Linked DNA regions of Caenorhabditis elegans. The protein of the gene in region 2 interacts with the protein of the main gene of each other region in a pairwise test. Each region holds a gene or a part of one and is shown on either strand. Other genes may lie near its edges.

Region 1 (9,947 bases), on a different chromosome or scaffold from region 2:
TTCATACTACCTGAAGATCCGTCAATGAAAGATAAGGAAGGTATCTCGGTATTTGGTAACAAGTTAAGCCCAAAAAATTTAAGATGTGTTCCTAGATTCAGAAAAGGTCGAGTTGGCCTATAACTGATTTTGTTAATAATGATAACTTGCTGGAAATCATGTAGAGATTCGATTCACGACAATCGAAATAATCTAATCTTCAAAAAAAGATTTCTATCAGAGTAATAAATCTTCCTGAAAACTTGAAAAATAATATTTACCCTTACTAAAATTGCGTGACCTCAATGGTGGTTTAAACCAATAAGTTACTCTAGGTTAAGAACTTTTTGTTTTTGTAAATACCTCCTCACCAGAAACTATAAATTTTACTATCTTCTACATTTATTCTTGAGATACAAAAAGCTTCCTCGTTTAGGCTAGTTTCAAAATGAATTCTTATTTCAGGAGAAAAACGCAGCTCGTCAATTTCTTCCGTACATGAAACGAAACATCGCAATCGGGCGTGGTGATGGTCTTCGACCCGGAAAATAAAATACAAAAATTGCACATTCTTCTTTTGATATTATGTTTTTATCACATTTTCTACTAAAATCTCAATTAGAAATTGCTCTTGCTCATTTCATTTAACAACTTGATTCCGTTTCCTGGTGTGCTGTCTTCATCTGTTTGTTTTTCTTTTTTTTTGACGATCTCAAAATGGTTTATTTGATTTTCCCATAAATACATCAAGTTCTTCATCTACATCAGCTGTAATATTTATAAAATCTGCGTCTTGGAGAATTTCTTCGAGAGACATCATTTGAAATGGTATAGCACAGGAAGTAGTAGACGGAGATACTTCTGAAGCAACAGCGACACAATGATTCTCTCCAATAAATGACTCTTCAAAAATCCATTGTGGTTGTGGAATCAAACGATGATAATATTGGGTTGAAACTGTTGAGTGACCTGAAAAGGATACATAAAACGATAGATTCTTTCGAAAAGTTAACCTGACGCGTGATCATAACTGGAATCTACTTGGAAAGTATGATTGTGCAGTCCATCTGGAAGTCCAACTCCCGTAGCTTTTAGAATTGATTCTTTCAGACACCAAATTCTGTAGAATGCGTGCCATCTAGAAATTAGGATGATTTATTAAATTTTACTGATGATTTCAATATTGTCAGTTTTCAATTTTCTGAAATTCGTATTTAAAGGCGCACGAATTTATCCGGATGGGTCTCGCCACTGATATGTTCGGTGCCCGCTTTGACGTTATTCAGGATATTGTTATAACGTCATTATGAATTTTGTTGAGTTTTTTGTCGTGAAAATCGGAAAAGCTCTGCCATAAACTGAGATCCATCTGATTGAATCCGTGAACTTTTATATACACAATACAGAAAATTAAGAATTGTAGTTTGAAACGATACCTTTTAAGTTCACATTTATCTCCCCCTTTAACCATTTCTATTTCATTTTCACTGAAATGTCGCTTCAACGTATTCATTTGTTCACTAGCAGTCTCACGCCGAGCTTCATTAACTCTCATCACATCGACACCTTAAATAATTTTGCCTTTATAAGATCAAAATTCAAAACATTAGTACAAACCTATTCTAGTATCTCCGGTAGCTAATACAACTAGATCACCATGATGCGATACGTTGTATTCGAAGTTTTGACGAGAATAGTCTGATTTATTTTGAATAAGAGATGGTTTTCCATTTTCATTCCGACTAAACTCTAGATCTGACCACTGACGAGATATTGATATAGTGGCAGCTTTTCTGAATGTCTTCCAATTATTCAAACTCGAATAACATTTTGTTAGAACCTTGGAATTAATCTTCCTATCAGACATGCCAATGCATCTTCTTTATATCGAAACCGTCTCTGCTGCTCCACATCACTTTCCGATGCACACAAAATAGCCCGTCTAAACATATTTTGGAATGTAGATGAAGTTATCGTTTCTTCCAGCGATATTGCCCATCTTAAGCTCATTGCGCTGGAATTTATGATGAAAATTGAGACGGATGAGCTAAATTAGAAATCATCAAGAGGTAGATGCCACATTTCATAAAAATATCAGTTTGAAGTATAGCACAGAAAACTATATTTAATTTAATATTATAATAGCGATTATTAAGTCAGCTGCTCACTGGAATGAATTCCAGAGAGGGAGAGAGAAATAGACAGTAAAACGAGTCTTTGAAGTAAAGAACAACTCAATACAGAGGCGGGGATGAGTGGTAAAAAGATTGCATAATGTATTTCCAATATTGAAAGTAGTTATGTAATTCCGAGACGACGGGCTTGTCCCTCATAAATTAAAAGTCGCCACATTTTGATCACAAATTGCTCAGCATCCTCGTCAATGATCTGAATTCCATATATTAGATTTTTACTTAATAATTGATCATCTCACGACGGCGACGTCTTTGAGTATTTCTTGGGGTGTCGCTTGTTTCTCAATTTGATCACAGATGAAATCACAGAACGATTTGTCTTCTTCGCCAAGGAATTGAGTGACTTTTTTAGCCACCCACGGACGAATTCGATCATTCATCCATTTCCCATCTAGCTGATCCCATTCGATTCTATGAACAAAAAGTTCATCTGAAAAAAATCAAGTTTTAAATGTTTTTTTTTTCAATAAACATATCTTTGATTTTACCATAAAAACTCAAAGTTTATGAACGTTTTCTTCGAAATAACTTGCCTTTTGTAGCAGGAATAGTTTTGATTATCTGCTTCGTCAGCTCTCTTTTTTCTTCAGCTGACATGACTTGCATACGCTCTTCTCTAGTGATCTCGAATGGTTTCAACTTCTTTTTGCTATGCACATCGTCTTCATCGTCATCATTTCCAAACACACCACTGAGGCGTTGAGCAATTGGAATAGGAGATGCTTCTTTTTTAATTTGCGGCTGATTTTGATTTCCGTTAGCTATAGGGCGGTTTATTTTTGTATTGAGAGAAGAGTCATCTCCAATCGCTTTCCATCCGAAATTTCCATTTGTACCAGACGAACCAGTGTTAGGATCTACATGCTCGGAAATATCTACATCAATTGGTTCTTCTTTAATTTCATCCTTAATTTCCTTTTTGACATCGGTCTTTTCGCTATCACTCTCTTCTTCACTCGAAGACTTTTCTCCGTTTGCCGATTGACCAAGTGGTTGATGAGGATTTGGACTTCCACTATCAGCTCGCATTTTTCGCATTGCTTCTTCTTCCTGAAACTTTTGATAGGGTTTACTGAATGTATATAGTTGTGCCAATCACTACTAAGCGTAGTAAAATAAGTAAAGCGCAATTCTATTAAGCCCAGAGAAATATCACCCGTGGAAGGAAGGCATACTGTAAAAAATACTCAAAATTATGGCAGAATTAAGAAAGAAGAGAACTTCAGTTAGGAACAATTTTGAATGGTGTATAAACTTCTTTAGTTATACGGTAGGTTTTGATTAGATCGATGTTCTATGGACCTATTTAGAAACTTCAAGTCATTTTTCTTTGAAGCTTCGAAACGAAAGATTTTTGTCTTGCCGCGTACGAATTAAAAATGCAAACCTTTAGTTTGTGTCGTTTCCTTGCCTCCTCTTCAATGTTAATACTCTCATCATTTGCAGCTTCTTCCATAATTTGTCTTTTGAGTTCTTCAATCTCTTGCTGTTCTTGCATTCGATCTTTTTGATCAGCTTCCCTTTCACGTTCATAGTCTCTTTTTCTTTGGAAGAATTGAGAAGAAGTGTAGTATTTTGGATCATCTTTCTCATCATCATAGTCCTCGAGGAATAGTTTTAATCGTTTGCCTTCCTTTTGTAGTGTCTTTTTGCGATCCTTCTCTTTCCGTTCCTCTCGTTCATACCTTTTCGACATTTGTCGTTCTCTTGATTCCCATCGTTTCAGACGAGCCAGATATGCTTGCTTCTTATCAAGCATCATTTGTTTGAAAGCACGTTTCTCCCTTGCATCATCGCTGTCTTCTGAAGCATGACTATTACTTCGGCGTCGTTTAGATGTTCTGCTACGTTGAGGAGTGCGTGACCTGGATCGAGAAGAATATGATGAACTACGAGATGAAGATGAGTCCGATTCTGAGGATGAATTTGAGCTGGAGCGGCTTCGACGTGATCGCCTGAAAATTATTGAGTAGAAATTGAAACATTTTTTTAAAGAATATTTTTTTATTATTTTTATGTTGACGAAAAAAAGCATATAAATTTATTTTACAAAGAAAAAAATTACTAAAATTTTATAAGCTAACTATCGAAAAATCGAAATTTTTGAAGTATCGGAATACCGAAAAATTCGGAATATTTTCGTTTTTTAATTTGTGTGAAAAATTGAAGAACCAACACCCTTTGACTATTCCAGCGGTACTCCAGTGGTTGAAAATAAAAATTAAATTAAATTAAAACACTTACTTGCTTCTGGGCGATTCTTTGCTTCTCGATCGTCGTGAAGTTCTTTCTCGGCTCCTTGTGCGACTGCGGCTGCGTCGATTGCGATTTCGTTTGTGTTCATCCTGAAATACAATTATTGAAAATTAATTTAAAATCTATATTTGAGATCACTTGGTCTACATGTATTTTATTTTGCAATTTTCTTATCGAGTTTTTCAAAAAAAACTTTGATAGGCGAGAGGACAAGAGAGCAAGAGAGTGAGAGAAAAAGAATATGAATATATATTTCTCGTGAATTTGATGTAACACATAGACATACACATAGTAGTACTCACTTTTAATATTAGGCCACTTCAATTTTTCGAAACCATCACCATGAGTTATTAAAAACCCAACTTTTTTTCAAACAGGGTTACCAACATTTTCCAAATAAAAAGGTGACTGAGAAAGCATGCAAGTCTTTAAATTAAACGGAACAAAAACAGGGAGCTGGAGGGGATGATGACTTACGACTCAAATTTGGGCAAAAACTAATGGAAATCCAGTAGTTCAGTTTTTTCTGCAAATTCGATTTTGGAATACAATACAAGGAGACACGAACAAAGTGAGTATAGCCCAAGAATAAGTTGTATGCGTGAATGTATTGCAATCTGAGAGTGAAAACGCTAAAAAAGTTAGATAAAAACGATTCTCTATAATCTATAATCGAAGCAGTTGATTAGTGCGGGATTACACACACACACAACGTCAAATAATTTCTAGTTTCAGTCAAAATTTGAGAAACGCTAGAAATAAAAACAGGAAGCCGACAAGAAAGTAAAATGATTATTTTCAACATAGAGAGCAAAACTTGTCTTACCGCAGATGAAGGAGTGCTCGTCTCTGACATATTCCCTACAAAAGTGGAAGTAATTTTAGGATGATACTAATAAAACGAATACTGGGGACAAAAGAATGGGAATAGAAGAAGGGTGCAATTCCCCAATGAGAGGCACGACAGAGCAATTTATATGGCTTCTCGAACAAAAATGGTGGGGGAGACGGGGGGTTACATACACACATCGAAAGCATACGTATATTCACTCAACAACATACCACCAAAAATCATTGATGAGTGGAGGAGCTGTAGAAAATCTGGAACATTTTGGTACCTGCTGGAGAAAATATGTAGTTTTACTTGATATTTTGCACACCAACAATGATTAGTAAAGGACCGAGATACACAACTGAGGAATGCGATAATATATTTGAGGAACGTAAAAAATATAGACTGTGAGACAGAAAAGACATGAGTGTGAAATAGAAGAGGTTGGCAGAGAGAAAGAAGGGAAAAGCATGCAAAAGCTTAATCTGAAACATGTTAATTGGCACACTCACACATGCATTTCAAAGGTGAAATGTGAGATTTAGAAACATAAATTTTTACTCGATATTCAATTTCGTAGTTTTGTGAATATTGTGCGTTGGTTAGAACATAGGACTCTTGCATTTACTCATTTTTCATATTTAACGTGATCATTAATTTTTATATTGATGTGGTTCGTGTATTTGCTCATTTTACATATAATTGACTTTTTAGGTTTTAATATATATATTAAAAAATATAAGAAAATGGGGTCAAAACTTACGTATCGTGTTCCGATTCTTGGCTGGTTATACATGTTCCTATATAGAATAGTCAAAATGATCATAAAATTAAAATTTTATGTTAAAAGTGGTTGTAACTATTAGTCACCTCTCATATCAGCGGAGAGCCATGGAAAGGCTCATGTCGTTGGATACACGTCAGAAGCTATTACTCACCTTTTTTGGATTTGAAGACGAACTTGGCACGGTTTGCTTTTCGATTTTACTATCATGTCCCTTGACTTTCTTGGTCTCGTCAGAGAGTTCTCCATCTGGAAACAGAAAAACTGTTACGAATTGTTTTAAAAGTTTTTAAAAGCAGTTATATTTGGTCATTACGGTTCATTTTTCTCTACTCCACCTTTAAAAAGTAAAGTTATACCTTCAGTGATTGAAAATAGTTCCTTGTGATCAGTTTCCATCCAATGAAGTATTTTCAATCGAATTTCTTCGTCTTTTTTCAAATCATCTTCGTCTGCAGGTAGCTCGTCATGCTTTAACTTCAGTTCTTTTTTGCCTGAAATTTAGAAACTATAGGTAAATCCAGATATATTGGTTTTCTACTGGGCATATTAGATCGAGCTCACAATTATTTGCTATTTTCTCCAACTATGAGAAGTGAGACAAAAGAAAAAAACATACAAACAATTTTTGAAAATCATAACAGTGAAAAATGCTAGCTTTGGTTATTACAAGCATGTGATACGGTAAACATAAAACGTGGAAACATGCAAAAGACAAGGTGTTACCTAACCAATGATGCAAATAATGCTTCAAACAAGAGATTTATCGATTAGAATGAAACATTTCAACTGTCAAAAACCCATTTCTTACCTTGTCTCTTCCTATTTTCAATAGCATTTTTGCGTAGATCATCACGCACTTTTTCGTCAGGCTGTAATCATAGAGCTTTTGGCGTTGGGATTAGAAAACAACATTATTCAACAAACCTTTACAGTTAGTTTTTTGTCCCCCAAATGAAATTCGTGAAGAATGCGCAGCGCTCGTAGAGTTCCTTCGAGATCTGTGAAATGGCAGAATCCGAAACCTTGCAATTTGCCGTTACTTCCTTTAATGCGTTTCCAACTCGCAACATTACCGCATTCCTGTAAAAATTTATTAATTTTTATTCCATAAACTAATGTAATAATTACGTTTAATATTTTCCGGATGAACTCATCGCTGCATTTATCGGATATGTTTCCAACAAAAACTGGCGACGAATCTGGTTTTTGTTGGCTTGATTGCTGCGCGGGCGTCTGAAAATAAAACAAAAAATTATTTTTTACATGAAAAAACTAGCTTACGTGCTGGCCCGGCATTCTCATCTGTCCGAAAACAATTTGCTGTTGTTGTTGTGGATAGTCTGAAAAATAAACTCTTCTACAAAAACTTTCTTAAGATTAACTGAGAAAGTGCCTCGAGGCAATAAACTCACGAGGGTACGAAGACACTCCATAGCCTTGTCTGAAAGCCATGGTCGTGAGAAAAACGAAGTCCTAAATTCGATTTTTTCCTGAAACAAAAAAGTTGTGGAGCATGGCAATGTATTAAGAGTTAGACCAGAAAAGATAATGAGTAAAAAAGAAAAAAGAGAAAATAAATTATCACCTAACTATCAAGAGAACAATTTCAGCGACAGTAGATTGTGTTGTGGAACGAAATTTATATAATAACATGCAAATAATTAATAAAACAAAGGTTTTACAAAGGTTTTAGGTAAAGGTTTTATTTTAATATAAAATGTAAAAAATTAATGCGATGATTCTGTTCTAAACAATTGCATACGTTGAAACGCGCAGACGAAATTTATCGATTTTCCTTTGCGCATTTCTCGTGACCACTTCTGCGTCAGCAACTACTCTTGACACCGATTGTCCTTCGACTGTTTTTCATTCAAATAAAAAATGATTAACGCTGTGCTTTCATGTTCTTATTTTTCTCTATAAAACGTCCTAATTATATTTCATTTTTTGAAATATTTAGTTATGTATTGTTGATATTTATAATTTCAGAATGACTGATGATATCGATGATCATCATCTTGAAGATGACATGCATGTGGAAGCTTACATGGAATTAAAAGTATGTCTGTTTTCAGCAATGTGTTTAGCAAATTAATATGAACTATTTTAGCCTCAACAACCACGTTATATATGCCCCTATGGATGCAACAAATTGATTGCCTCTCGAACGATCGATTATCACAAGAATAATGGATGTGGACGTAATCAAAGCGATAATATGGTTTCGCATCCTCAACTCAAAAAGAGATTTTATTGTTGCGGATTGTGTAGTTCCGAATTTATCACGAGACCTGAGTTCCACAGTCATTTGCGTATTGAGCACGACGTTCTTCCGGATGTTCATTCAATGGAATTCCCGGACCGTGCTACATTTGAAGTAGGAGATCTAAAATTTGACATTTGATAATTATTAATTTTTCAGCGGTTCAGATTCTGGTTAGAGTCGGAAGGTGGTGCTCATTTTCGACACAAATCGGGATCAAAACGACGTGGGCGTGGAAAAGGAATTTTTTTGGCATGCAATCGAAGTGGCAATGTGAGTAGTGATAAGAATACAGCCAATGATCGTACAGGACCATTTCGATTAGGATTCACGTGTACTGCTTTTATTCATGCAACAGAACATAATGATGGGTATGCTTTGAGAGGCCCCACGAAAAGGGGAGCAGAACGAAAAGGGGATCTGCAAAAAGGGGATCTGCGGAAAGGGGAGCTGGCACTGTGCCAAACGCACAAAACGCTTTTTATTCTCATTCAACGCACGCATTATTTTTGTATTTTACGCTAAACAACGCGCGATGCGTCACAACGGAGTGTGGTTATAACAAAGTCGTGCGTTGAATGAGAATAAAAAAGTGTTTTGTGCGTTTGGCACAGTGCCAGGTCCCCTTTTCGTTGCTCCCCTTTTCGCAGATCCCCTTTTTGCAGATCCTCTTTTCGTTCTGCTCCCCTTTTCGTGGGGCCTCTGCTTTGAAATAAAATTGAAAAATAAACAAATTTATCTTTATTTTCAGACATGTGTCTGCGGAATTTTGTGGTGATCATTACGCTCACGACGCACGGATGCGGCTCCCCAATGTCATTAAGTATATAATTGCTCAGAAGCAAATGGAACAGAGTTCTCCTATGGAAATTATTGGATTTTTACGGCATCATTTCCTCAGCATCTCTGCAGACAACATTTATGCTCAGCGAGTTTGCTTTGTAGATACCGATGAGTTGAAGACTCTATTAGTTTCGTGCACTAAAAAATGGAGCAGAGAAGGAATTCCAAAATCAATCGAAGTTTGGGAAGAGGAACTTATCGACAAAGTAGGAATCGAATGGCCACCAGTTTCAATGAGATCTCCACATCGATTCACAGAACCAAGAAAACCGACAACAACTGAAATTGCAATACAAGAACACTGGCCGAGACCAAGAGTATTTGTGGGCAAAAACCGACGTGATCATTTAATGGCTTTTCCATTAGGAGATGTTTCACAATCTAGTAGTGGTTACGAGCAACATGAAGATATGGATGATCCGAGATTTATCCAGATTGAAATGGAATATGAAGATGAACGATTTGTACAAGATGCTCAGATGGTTGAAGAAGAAGAAATTGAAGTTGTCGAAACGCAGACGTATGAACGACATCAGGAAGCAATACGAAAGGGAAATGAAATTCTGTAAGATTAAAACAATGATATATTTGTCTATTTTTTTAATTTCAGTGAACACGGAGGTGAAGAAGTTCGAGTGGGAAATGAAGTAATCGTGGCTCCTAGAAGTTCTAATGATCAAATTGCCAATGAACAAAAAACAAGTACAGATGAACGAATTTTAATCGAATCGCCTGGACATGAGGAAGTTGTGATTGTTGATGGAGATGTAGATGACGAAATCGATGACAGTC
Region 2 (6,833 bases):
AAACCACCTGACATATCTAAAAAATTCCAGTCAAAAAATCAAATTGTTAGAATAAATGCAAAAAATAATTTTGTCAGTTATCATGCTGTAATGAAATTTCAATGTCACACTTGACTAATGAAGAGTCATAAGGGAAGAAAAGGAAAAAAAGATACCATTATAATTTTTTGATAATTTGCTTCTCTATTTTATTTCAAATTTTGTTCGCAAAATGGTTCAAAAAATGTATAGGAAACACGGAGCTTCGAAAAGAGAACTAGAAAGGCTCAGGTGAATCATGGAGACGAAGAAGCCTAAAGTGCTCGACGTTTTTGATGTATGAGGTACACTTGGAATTGTTCAGAGGAGAAACAACGGATGGAACGTGGAATATAAAGAGAGAAGAAGACGTGTCAAGAAACCGATACGATGTGAATGGAAAAATAGAAGGAAACAGTTTTTGAAAGAAAGAAGAAAAGAGAAAAAATTGTAAGCGTTTTAGAAAAAGATATTCCAAAAATTTTATGGGAAAGAACGTTTTGGAATTTGACAGTAACATTTTTAGGTTAAAAATGCATGTCAGAAATCTTATGGTAACAATTAGGTTTCACTAGAATATTGGAAAATGTTCATAAAATTCTAAAAAACTGTAACAGATTGTGTGTCTATCGTGTTGCATGATCAATAACAACGGATCAATCTGATGGAATCTCGTATTTTAGTCTTGCATCCATTTGCTTTACATTGACAACTCTTATCTTAATTGTCGTTGGTTTTTCCAAAACTTTTTCAACAGTAAAATATTATCTAATATTTTTCAGCGTTAAAGATAAGGATTACTTCAACTGTGAATTTATCAGCAAATACAGGAGAATCTGATAATTTTTATTTTGAGCTTGTTACCGCTAACTTCTGAATAGTTTGTTCAGTTTTGAACAATATCAAGATAATTTTGAATTGGTTTAGATTAGGTGTTTCTGAATGCAATTAATTAAGTTAAATTGTAAATTGATTATGAACAGCAATTAGCTCAATGTGCTTCAGCAAGTAGCATGATCAGGCTTTTAGAATATATATATTTAGAAATATATAAGAATATATAATAGCATAAAATAATTAAGATTTAATCACAGAGGAGGGGAATATCAACAAAAATCCATACTATAAGAAATTATAATTCTGAATAACAACCACTCACCAAAAGGAAGCTCAAATCGAACATCAGTCAACAAGTTATGACCTGTTGGACCACGTGTTCCTACAGTTTGACCATTTCTTGTTTCAAGTTCATGATCCATTTGAAGCCATTGACCCGAACCTGCTGCATTGCTGAAAATCAATGGGGTATTTTTAGAAAACTGATACATTAATTTTAAAAGTTAGAAACCACTTCCGCTCAATTACGACAATTATAGGTGGCGAAAACTGAATAATTGCACTTTTCCATTGTAAATAAGAAACGTTCATATTTTTTCGTAAAATTGTATTAAAGTATGTTGCCATTTTAGTATTGGTTTTAGAGTGATTTTAACTGACGACTGGAAATTAAAAAAAAATTTTACCTGTATCTAATCTCCGAAAGTGGCATATAATGAACACCTATTAATTTGTCCCATAAAACGCCTTTGGCCCATAATTCGAGTACCATTCCGTCGTCAGGTCGATTTGTTTCACTGAAATAATTAATTAAATATGAGGTGATGTGGTTTAGCTGAAACCTTAATGTTTGATTAATTGGTTTTCAAATATAATTGTTGTTATTTTAATAAAATAATTGTAAGTGTAATGAAAAAAAAACAAGTAAAACGTTCCAAAACTAAAAAAAGGAGGCAAAATAACACCAATTTACGCATAATGGTATTTTTCCTTCCATAATATCAAATATTACTATTTTCAGCTGTTCTTTTTTTATAACATTTACAAAAATCGGTCTCCTTTACCGTATTTCACCTGTCAATGACAACTTACAAAATGAATTCCTGCTCCCAGCATGGTAAGTTGCCACGCACAGCCACAGTTGTTGATTTTACAGTCTGCAGCTTCACCGTCACGTACGAGTTGAATTCATCTGAGATCAGGCATTTAAATTGTTTTTCAAAAATTTAAAAACTGAAAAAAAACATGCTCTAATGATAGGGAGGGCGCGAAACGTTAATGCTTGTACAAAACCTCTTTAAAATTTATAGAAAATTTCAACTCAATCCAAGTTTTGATAATCAAAATTTTAAAAATCAAAACTTGATAAGACTTTGGTAAAACGAAGGTGAAAAGTTGTTGAGATTTCATTTCCAAAAAGAAATTTGAAAAAATCTAGAGAAGATTATAAATCTGCAAAATCTCTCCAATCCTAAATAAAATCGCAACTTCAAAATTTTTTTACTGCTGGACAACTTATTGGCTAATCCTAAAAATGGGACAGTTGAAAACAATTGGGTCCTAAAACAAGAGTTAGAATGTAACACGTTAACTATAAATATGCTCTCATGAAAATTACTGGGACGCTCAGTTAAACTTTTGTACCCAGGGGAACAATAAAAAAAGAAGCTATATTTTTTTTAGTTGAAAAGAAAAAAAAAAAGAGAACAACGTGAATTATAACTCAATTTCTGGCTCAAACTTGAGTGAAAGATCAAGAATCTTTAAAGTTCTTTCTCATGAGATTTATAGTAAATGTAAAAAGCTACTAAACATTGAACGATTTGTTAAATTTTTTGAACAAGCTGGTTGTATTCTTACTATTACTATATGCTCTTACTATATGCTTTAAAGATGGGGTACTTTTAGCGGGATTTTGTCAACTTACGTTTAGAATGTGGGGTTTTTCGAACTATATGTGTAACTTCAGACACATTCTTTACTACTAATACTTAAAAAAACGAAAACATTTGTTCTATATTCTCAAAATTAAATGAAATATCAAAAATTATTTCAAAAGCATTGGAAATATATGTTTCGCTTAATTTTTAATAATTTTTTAAAATTTTAATTCCATAATTTTTTCTTGAGCTTAACGTACATGATAAATAACAAAGTTTAAGTTTCATTTCATTTTTCTTGGTCTTTAAGCTTCCAGTCCACCGTATCTTGTTTCGTCTCCGGTGCCCTCATTCATTCGTCATTCCATTTCAAACGTTTTCCCCAGTGACTTACTCTCTTGTTTAGAGGTGCCCCCGGTGCTTCTATGTTTAATTTCCTGGCAACTTTTTTCCGGTTTCTTACTTTTTACTTACTCACTTGCTCACGAATGTAGTTAAACTTTTCCTGCCTCTTCAACGACTCTTTTCTCTTATCTTACTCTAAAAAGGTCCCAAAATTTGATTAAAATTTGCCAAAAAAAAGGGATGGGAAAATAGAAGAGGCGGGTGCATACACATACATTCAGAATACTAAGCACATCTTGTACGTGATGTTGAGGTATAAGTTGTGCATTATTTCGTGTGTCATCGAAGCATGAAAACGCGCGTTTCACGATGAGATTTATTATTCGGGAGGTCGCCCCGTGAAACTGGAATGACAGGTGTCACGAATGATGAATTTCTCAGGCGACAACTACAAATCGGAGCAACGCCACGCATGATCGTTTCTCGATTTGCAGAAAGGGATTTATTCAGATTTTTTAGTCTTTCACCCAAAGGAGGTGGACATTTCATTTAAAAAAAGTCAGATCCACATTTCAGACATCTGGCAAGTTAATAGTTTTTTGTTGAGATAAAGTGATGATTCATAAAGTGGAAGAGCCACTTGATTTTCAGTTAGCTCTGACTATGATTTTTTAAAAGTATTTGGAGCAGGAGCATCTTTTGGTTCTATGGTCATCGAGACTAATTGTAACAGTACTGGCACACTGTTACATTTTCAGATTTTTTTCAAAAAATTGGCAGAACTCTCAGAATATTTGTTACATTATCTACTTCAAGTTTCAGGGAATTTCCAGTATTTTTCAAACGAAATAAATTATTTTAAATGAAAACTGAACTATATATTTTAAGTTATAAAATCAATAGAAATACTCACCGACAGCTCCTTGAAGTCGTGCTTTTTTAACTGAAACAATCAATGTTAACATCTCGTCCATAACTGAGTGTCGATGGTCTCGTATATATGTATTCTCGAGACGGCAAGAAGAACACAAATAACAACTCACTGGTAATGCAGAGCAACCTCATGCTCATGCCATCTGAAAGTTGATCATCATTGTAATCTCCAACGTCATCCATCCCTTCTGATTGTTGAAACGTGGCATATTCTTGGGCGATGGTTGAAGAGGAAGCGGCCTCCCCAGATGGGTACGCGCCGCCGACCAGTTGTTCCAATGCCGAGAACAACTTGGTCTCCTGGAGAGTTTTTGGATCAGGATTTTCAGAATTTTAAGGTTTTAGCGAATCAATTAGAGATCAGGTTTAGGTTCAAGTTCCTGGTGCAGAGTTAAAGCTTGAGATCAAGTTTAACCTATAGACAAAAGTTAAACTGAAGGTCAGTGATGAGTGGTACAAATAATTGGATTAAGCAGAAGTAAGTAAGTTCAAAAGAACTAACAGCCTAATCAGACAGATCCAGAGATCTTTGAAATTTGTGTTTTGTAGTTTTTGTTCAAAGAAAGTTATAGATAGAACGTGTTCAAAGCCCCTTAATTTTATATAAAAATTAAATTAAAAACAAAACTCTCAATTCCTACATAACAATGAATAAAAAATTATATGCATGACATGATGAAAAGTCATAAAATACAGAAAAAATGAGCTCCTTTTTTTGCTAAGAAAATGCGTATAGCCTCGAGGTGCCTTCTGCATTATAATGAAAAATGCATCACTTTTTTCTATACTTTTTTTACTATGAAATACGAAAAACTGGGTTAAAAAGTAAATACAAGTTTAGAAAAACTATATTGTTTTACTTCTTTCTCTTGTCAAAGTTGTTTTTATTCTTTAAATGAGAAAATTTCAAGAATGTGTTAGTAACTCAGTGATTTTAACATTCAAAAGTGGAACATAGTGAAAATTTTTTCAAAAAAAAAAAAAAAAAAACGAAATTAAAAAAACGAAATTTTTGTTACCAGTCAAAAAAATTAAAGAGTTTGCAAAATTAAATTTTGGCAGTATAACATCATTTTGACTGAACATTTGAAAAATCTGAAACAATTTTTTAGGGTCTCATTTAAGCACTTTTATTTTTGATTTTGACAAAATCCTGACTGGTGCTACATTATTTTTACAATAAAAAAACAAAACTTCAACATGAACTTCTTATGGACAAAAAAGCTGTAAACTCTTTAATATAATTTTTGTCTAAAATTCCAAACCTAAACGAAAAAATCTTGATCAAACCACAAAAAAAGTTGATTAAGAAAGTCCAAAAAAAGAAACGAACGCAAAATGCGCGAAAAAGTAGCATTTTTTGGAGTATATACTAAAGAAACCAGTGAGATAGTGATTCAAACTAATAGACGCAGAGAACCGGAATAAGTATAACGGAGAGTGTGGAGACGGCGACTGGATGAGCTTGTGCTTTCTTCTTCTTCTGCTCCCGCTCTCTACCCCCTATTCGCCACTCCCCCCTTCGCAAAAATTGAGGACGGAGTAGCAGAAGACGTCGCGGAGCCAAGCTAGAGGAGCACGGAGCACTGAATTCTCGGAGAACCCAGAGATAGTTGCACCCACTACCACCACTCTTCCCTTCACCACAATTTCTCTTTTGGTGTCCCTCTCTCTCTCTTACTTTTTCACCAATTGGGTTTCAGAAATGGACAATAGGAGGACGTTTATATGTGTTTGTGTATGTGGACGGTTCTCACGCTCTAGTGCTCTCCATTCCAATTTCTAGACCTAGATGCCACTCAATGCTTCAAAACAGACTTGCTATGGGAATTCATATCAAATTCTGTGTTCCGATGAGGTTTTAAAATCATACGAAGAACCCATTTTCAAGGGTTGTGTTCCAGAAAAAGATATTTTTAATTATCAAGATGTTTTCTAGGAAATTAGATAGTTTCCAGCATGTTTTAAATATCGAAAATTAGTTCTGAAATTTTTATATTTGAAGAAGAAAATCTGTAAAAGGATCAGTCACAAAAATTATCAAAAAGTTTTTAAATGGATGGTCGTAATGCATCAAACGGTTAAGATGAAGATTCTCTCAGAAATTTTGTGTCTGAATATTTCATATTCTAAATTCTAAAAAAACCCAGCACACTTATCGACATTTTCGAGCATTTTGCATCGAATTTTCTCAAACTGAAACAATTTTCTCGTATTTCTCGAAAGTTACAATAACGCTTTGACATGTTGACGTAAATGTTTACATATTAACAAATATCAAATTGTACCATTTCTCTAACTAAAAAACAAATCATTATAACATAGCAGATGAGAAGGGTTTGATATTTTGAAAGGAAATTTGAAGCCATAATGAAATCAAAATTTCAAAACGGGAGTTTAAAATTTCTAATCACTTGATGAAAACTTACAATCTGAAATCATTTGCATCTCAGAAACCTTTTGAAAATGCGATTTAATTTTTCAAAAAATATTTTGAATAACTTTGGACGGACAATGATGATCGATAAAATGCGACTGCACATAAAATACACAAATCAAACAGCTGAAAAATAATTGAAAATTGTTTTTCACTTGTTCACTATTTATGGATAAATTTTTTGATCGGAAAATTGAAAATAAAAGTTTTGTACAACAAAATTGTTTTATGAGTTGGATATAGCTATAATATATCTTTAATATAATCTTTTAAAAGGAAAAAAGAGAACCAAAAAGAAAAACGTTTTGTTTCATCTCACCATCTCATCATCGTCATTTTTTGTTAGATTTATTCGAGCGGAAAAAACATTTGAGCATTGATAA
Region 3 (5,845 bases), on a different chromosome or scaffold from region 2:
GATTTTAAACGACACTCCGCGATCCCACCTGCGCGTGTTGTTTAGCGTTAGCGGGAAATTCGAAATTTTGAGTCAAAACTGCAATTTTTGCTCGATTTTCGGAGTTTTTCTGCTAAAAATCGATCGAAATTGCGAAATTTCAATTTTCAAACGGCACTCCGTTATTCCGTAGGTGCGTGTTGTTTAGTGTTGGCGGCAAATTTGAATTGTTGCTTGCTTTTTTAAGTTTTTCGACGTAAAATCAACAGTTTTAACGGAAAAAATTCAAATTTTCACTCAAAAATTTTCCTTTTTATTATTATTTTTCTTTTTTGTCATATTTTAAACAATTTCTCTCCCCCTTATTCGTGGTCCTCAAGCAGCTTAATCGTGTCCGGTAAATTTGGCCCCGCCCACTCTCACACTGGCCACGCCCACAAAATGTCTTTCACCCCGTTTTTTGTCGAAATCCGGTCGAATTTATTGATTTTTTCTTCTTTTTTTTTCGAAACATCTGCCAATTTGATCTCTATTTATCCCACCTTTCCTCCCGATTTAAAAAATTTTCCTTGCCCTACAGTAACTCCCGCCCTATGTCCCTTCAAACTTGCCCCATCCCTGAAAAAATTCTCGTCAAAAAAGTTGTTGTTCCCCGTATACACATTGATTTCTGGTCAAAATAATTGTAATTTAATACACATATAAATCATATATTATCGGTTATATTAATTTTTCAAAAAAAAATTTTGGGTCTCGTCACGAAATTTTCGAAAGAAAAGAAGTTTCTTCGAAAATAGTCATGATTATACTTATTCAAACCGGCTTGCCACGCTGATTTCAAAAATATAAGTTTCATGGGTCTCGCAGCGAAATTGGCTGGGTTACTGTAGATTTAAAGGCTAAATTTAGGCCAAAGTCGTTCAATTTTCGTTCAAATTTTAAAAATTTTAAAACCTATGCTTGAGTAAACTCATTCAAACTGGCTTGACACGCTGATTTCAAAAATATGTCTTTCTTGGGTCTCACAGCGAAATTTATCGGGTTACTGTAGACTTTAGAGCCGATTTCAGGCCAAATCATGACGATTTAGGCCCAAAATATAGAATTTTTGAAACCCAGGCATGATTATACTTCTTCGAACCTTCTCGTCGTGAATATTGCGGCAAAAAGATTGTAAAACTGAAAAAAAAAATCGTTTTTTCAACAAAAAACAAGGAAGATCGACACAAAAACTAGCTAGAAATAGGGGGAAATAGGAAATTTACACAAAAATCAATCGATATAAATTAGATGAGATTATGATTCCATCGATATTTTCCGGTGACACATTGCGGTGCTCGCAGGAGTCCCGTGCACGGATGTTGGCCTTGAACTTCGCACATACACTGAAAAAATGAACGATTTTTTGCCGATTTTTCGCGCAATTTTCAGACCTGTCGCTCATTTTTGGATCCGAAATCGGCGGGATTAAGCTTGGCAATACTCTCCAAATGCTCTCTTCGCTCCACTAATTCCGTTTTTCCTAGCGTTTTCGCCAATAATTTCTCGATTTCCTCGCGCTTCATGCCGTCCAAGTCGAATAGCACTTCCCGGCCGTCGTCTGAAACATTTTTTAGTAGAATTTTGTGGATTTTCAGCTTGAAACTTACTCAGATATGCTCTGGCAAAGGGCGTCACAACTTTATCGGCATGCTTAACGAGCTGAACTTTTGGATTGTGATATTGAAGCTGCGCCCAGTTCCAGTAGACGAAATCTCGTGCTCCAGACTGCTCGGGCGTCGGATTTTTATGAAAACCCATCGAGAACACGTTGACGTTGTCGCGAAGCTTCACTTTTCCCTGCTGGAGATAGAAGAATGTCCGCCGAAGCGGCATGGACCCGTGCATGAACGGCATTTCTGGTTTTGAGCTGAAAAAGGAAGGAATTTCGTGGGAAAACGCTGAATATGAGATTACGATAAATTTATGCAAAAGATAGAATTAAAAAACCACTGGAAAAAGCTAAAAAATCGCTTGAAAATGAGAAAAAAAATATATAATTAAAATAAATAATTTTCCTCCCAACGACACTCCGATATCACGTTGTGCGCCTTCTTTATCGTAAATCCACATTTGCTTTTATTTCTGATTTTTGGGTTTTTTAGCTGTTTTCAAGCTATTTTATATCAAAATTCAGTAAAAACCGGTAATTTTTCGTCTATTTCCCGCAAAAATTACATAAATCATGTAAAAATGCTGATTTTATACCAAAAATTCACTAAAAATAAATAACACGCACTTGTTAATTCGGAGCATCGTTGTTTTAAACTCTAAATTTTTTTTCCAGAAATTTGATGGTTTTCCCAGTTTTTCAAGCATATTTCATGTTTTTTGGTGCCTTTAACGCTTCTGAAAAATTTTAGATTCTCGAAATTCCATCTTACAATCTCTCGATTGCTCTGAAAATCTCAAAAATCTCAAGATTTCGTATAAAATAGGATTTTCCAGGGTAAATCACGCGATGCCAATGTACAAGCTGACACCGACGTTCCCACCGAATTTTGAGGTTCATCCGAAAATCGCCTGCTATCCAGTAGGTTCGTATCATAATCCATCTTTCGGAGGAGTCGGGCCTTCTGATGCGGTGCAGGTAATAGACGGATTTTGGCTCAAAAAAAACTGAAATTTCAGGTAGAATCCGATCCGCGCAAGGCTTTGGAGCACAAACAGCTCTCACTGATCGAGCAGCTCAAAGCACAGACCGAAGAGCTCAAGAAGTTGCTGGTAAGCCTTGGAGAGGCTGGAAAAGCAGAGAGATCTGCTCAAAAACCTGCGGAAAAAGCGCCAAAAGAGCCTGAGAAATCCGCTGGAGCAGCCTCTTCAGCTCCCGGAGTCCCCGGAGCCCCCGCAAAACTAGACAAGGACGCCAAGAAGGAGGCTCGCAAGGCTGCCAAGGCAGAAGCCGTAAAGAAATTGGCTTCCGGAGAGGCTCCACCACAGAAATCCGCGAAAAAGACCGTAAATTCGACTCCATGGACCGTCCAGGACGACCGAAAGACGTGGGAGACCAATCTGACTCTCACCGTGAATCTCCCAACCTCCCTTGTGGCCTACGAGCCGCAGGAGCAGCTGAAAAACGCCACGCTGACAGTGCGGGACGTGGATTTGCCGTGGGCTCGGGCTCTCGCAAAGGTCGGCGCAAGCCGTGGAGTCTCGTTTGAGGGAGAAGTCAAAAATCAGACGAAAGAGAAGAAATCCAGTCTGAAAGTTGTGAAAGGTGCGGGATTTTTTCTCTAAAAATCAGAATTTTATGATATACCCTTAATTTTCAATATTTTCAGGCCCTGCTCCCTCCCTGCAATTGGAAAAAACTACCGTCAAATCCCTTCAAACTATCTGGAAGCTGTTGGGCTCTTCACTCGGGCTCTTCTCTAGACGGCCACAACAAGTGCTCAGCGCCAGTCATCAAGCGATTTGGCTGGGAAAAGTAGGAAATTTTAGAAACTTTCCCAAAAAAATCAAATTTTCTTTCAGGCCGAGCAAATCCTTGCCGGCTCCTGTGATCAGAGCTTTGTCACACGTGAAGCTTCTCAGTTCCTGGCTCGTTTCGACTCGTTAAGCTCTCAATGGGAGGTGTGTGTCGCTGATATTGTGTTCAGAAGCCTTCTGAACCTTGGGGAGCACCTTCCGAACAATGTGGAGTTGTGGGCTAAGAAGATTGACGCTTTGATTGTTTAGATTTGATTTATTGATGTTTTTATTTGATTTTCTCGGTTTAAATGAATTATTTTGCATTTTTATCTGATTTTTTCGTTTAAGAAACAAATTTTTTGCTTTAAAAATTCAGTTTACAATTACAACGATACTCCAAAATCCCGCAGCGCGCCCTGTTTACCGTAAATCTACACCATAGAATTTCAATTTAAATTCTGTCTTTCTTTGTTTTTTTCGCGATTTTCACCGATTTCCGCAGATTTTTTGCACTTTTCTCATCATTTTTCATCGAAAACTCAACATTTTCATCCAGGAACCAGTATGAGCGACGCTAAAAAAAAGGCCGCCGCCGAGCTAGCCGCGAAAAACCTCGCACAACTCCAGAAAATCGACATCGCCGCCAGCAAGATTCTCGACAAGGTTTAACATAGAGAATTGTGGATTTTAAAGCTAAAAATTGGTTTTGTAGATGCCATTTGCCGCGATTTATCATATCGATGCGGCGAGAAAAGAGTGGAATCAGTCGAATTGCGAAGGAACATTTTTCGTCTATCAGAGAGCTGATCGGCCATATTTTAGGTGAGAAGAAGCAAGAAAACATGCAAAAATAGCTAAAATAATCAATTTTAAACTTATTTATTTCAGTTTCCTCATCGCAAATCGCAACGATCCATCGGATTTCATCGAGCCGCTCACCCTCAACCATATTCTCCGCCACGACGGAAATTTCATCTACTTTTACAAGGATTTGGCCTCAATTCAAGCACTATGGTTCCACCAGATTGATGATGCTCAGAAAATCTACAATTTGTTGCAAAAACTCGTGAATCGTCTGAAAGGAAGCACTACGGAGCAGGCTCGGGCCGCCAAGGCCGCCTCGGAGGCTCCACAGGCTTCGGTTCCGGCTCCAACGCAGGCTCCAGCAGCTCCAGCTCAAGCTCCACAAATGGCTCCTCAAGCCCCACCAAAAGTGGATCTTCTCCAGCTCATAAAAAGTGCGCAAAATCCGCCGCAAAAATCTGCGGCAACGATCGAACAAATGCCGCCAATGCTCCAGAAGCTGATGCTCAAAGAGCCGGGAGCAGCAATGTCGGCCGATGAGCTCGAGAAGGATCTTATAAAGTCGGCAAAACCGCATCGGAATCATCTTTTGCAAGAATTTACTAACTCAACGTCGGCGATTTCGTTGGCGGCGGTCTCGACGAAGCCTTTGCATGGATCGGAGGGTGATGTGGAGTCGGATATTGCTGAAGGAGAGATTTTAGAGCCACTTGATGCTTCATTTGTCGTTGGAAGTGGTGAACAGACGCCTGTTCTCAATAAAGAACAGGTTGGAGCTGGAAAAACGTTTTTTTTTTGAGTGAAAAGCTCAGATTTTTTAGATAAAATCAATTAAAAACTGATTTTTCACGAGAAATCTCGAAAATTTACATGAAAAATCTTTATTTTAGTTGAAAAATTTTGTCAAAAATCCCATTTTTGCTCGAAATTGGAGCTAAAAAATGCGAAAAATCAGTTTTTTAACGGAAAATTCAGGTTTTCCAGCTAAAAATCTGCTTTCTCAGTGAAAATGAGCAATTTTTAAGCTTGAAATCGACTTTATTTGTTTTTCAACATGAAATTACGATACTTAAGCTGAAAATTTTAGGCCCAGGCTTAGGCTCAGGCCTAGACCTAGGTTCAGGCTCAGGCTTAGGCTTCTGCTTCGGCTTAGGATTAGGCTTAGGCTTATGCTGAGGCTCAGGCTTAGGCATAGGCCTAGGCTCAAGCTTAGTCTTGTCCTTTAGATTTAGCCTTGGGCTTAGGCGTAGGCGTAGGCCTAACCTTAAACTTAGGCTTAGGCATAGGCATAGGCTTAGGCTTAGTCTAGCTTAGGTATTGAAATCTCTTTTAAAAAAAGTACCGTTTTTTCCTAAAAATTATAAAAAAGCGGTAAAATTTCCGGAAAAAAGCGAAATTTATCTAAAAATCTCAGATTTTTGTGAAAAATCGTTAAAAATCACCGAAAACCCCCTAAAATTCAAATTTTTTCAGTTCATCTCAGCAATCGCCCACCTAATGCAAACCGACGACGAATTCGTTTCACAGATTCATCAAGCCTACGTCAGTGCACTCAATCGGCGTCTAAATATCGATTAATTTCCCATTTTTTCGACCTTTTTCTCATTTTTCT

The links. The genes of interacting proteins can lie anywhere in the genome.
Region 1: the proteins of unc-13 (region 2) and rbm-25 interact in a two-hybrid assay, tested with the Caenorhabditis elegans proteins (one study listed by BioGRID).
Region 3: the proteins of unc-13 (region 2) and Y55F3AM.13 interact in a two-hybrid assay, tested with the Caenorhabditis elegans proteins (one study listed by BioGRID).

The regions. Positions count from the first base shown.
Region 1 is NC_003283.11:12,495,847-12,505,793, reverse strand, and holds rbm-25 (RRM domain-containing protein), read right to left. Parts: upstream 7,582-9,947; 5' UTR 7,502-7,581; coding exon 7,462-7,501; intron 7,390-7,461; coding exon 7,331-7,389; intron 7,283-7,330; coding exon 7,178-7,282; intron 7,130-7,177; coding exon 6,974-7,129; intron 6,919-6,973; coding exon 6,858-6,918; intron 6,541-6,857; coding exon 6,406-6,540; intron 6,296-6,405; coding exon 6,201-6,295; intron 6,059-6,200; coding exon of another isoform or gene 6,026-6,058; intron 4,520-6,025; coding exon 4,419-4,519; intron 4,130-4,418; coding exon 3,562-4,129; intron 3,231-3,561; coding exon 2,708-3,230; intron 2,605-2,707; coding exon 2,414-2,604; intron 2,368-2,413; coding exon 2,278-2,367; 3' UTR 2,089-2,277; downstream 1-2,088. Other genes in the region: nlp-46 (Neuropeptide-Like Protein), read left to right, coding at 445-531; T28H10.1 (L-aminoadipate-semialdehyde dehydrogenase-phosphopantetheinyl transferase), read right to left, coding at 692-948, 993-1,117, 1,416-1,545, 1,597-1,772, 1,820-1,989; W04D2.4 (C2H2-type domain-containing protein), read left to right, coding at 8,040-8,108, 8,160-8,426, 8,472-8,683, 9,064-9,720, 9,766-9,947.
Region 2 is NC_003279.8:7,420,148-7,426,980, reverse strand, and holds the start of unc-13 (Phorbol ester/diacylglycerol-binding protein unc-13), read right to left. Parts: upstream 4,197-6,833; coding exon 4,124-4,196; intron 4,024-4,123; coding exon 3,994-4,023; intron 2,048-3,993; coding exon 1,948-2,047; intron 1,653-1,947; coding exon 1,542-1,652; intron 1,309-1,541; coding exon 1,178-1,308; intron 1-1,177.
Region 3 is NC_003282.8:1,052,935-1,058,779, reverse strand, and holds Y55F3AM.13 (FH2 domain-containing protein), read left to right. Parts: upstream 1-2,466; 5' UTR 2,467-2,479; coding exon 2,480-2,608; intron 2,609-2,649; coding exon 2,650-3,235; intron 3,236-3,299; coding exon 3,300-3,445; intron 3,446-3,492; coding exon 3,493-3,696; 3' UTR 3,697-3,757; downstream 3,758-5,845. Other genes in the region: mrps-25 (Small ribosomal subunit protein mS25), read right to left, coding at 1,266-1,364, 1,413-1,579, 1,629-1,875; dcap-1 (mRNA-decapping enzyme 1), read left to right, coding at 3,994-4,092, 4,142-4,251, 4,318-5,002, 5,707-5,811.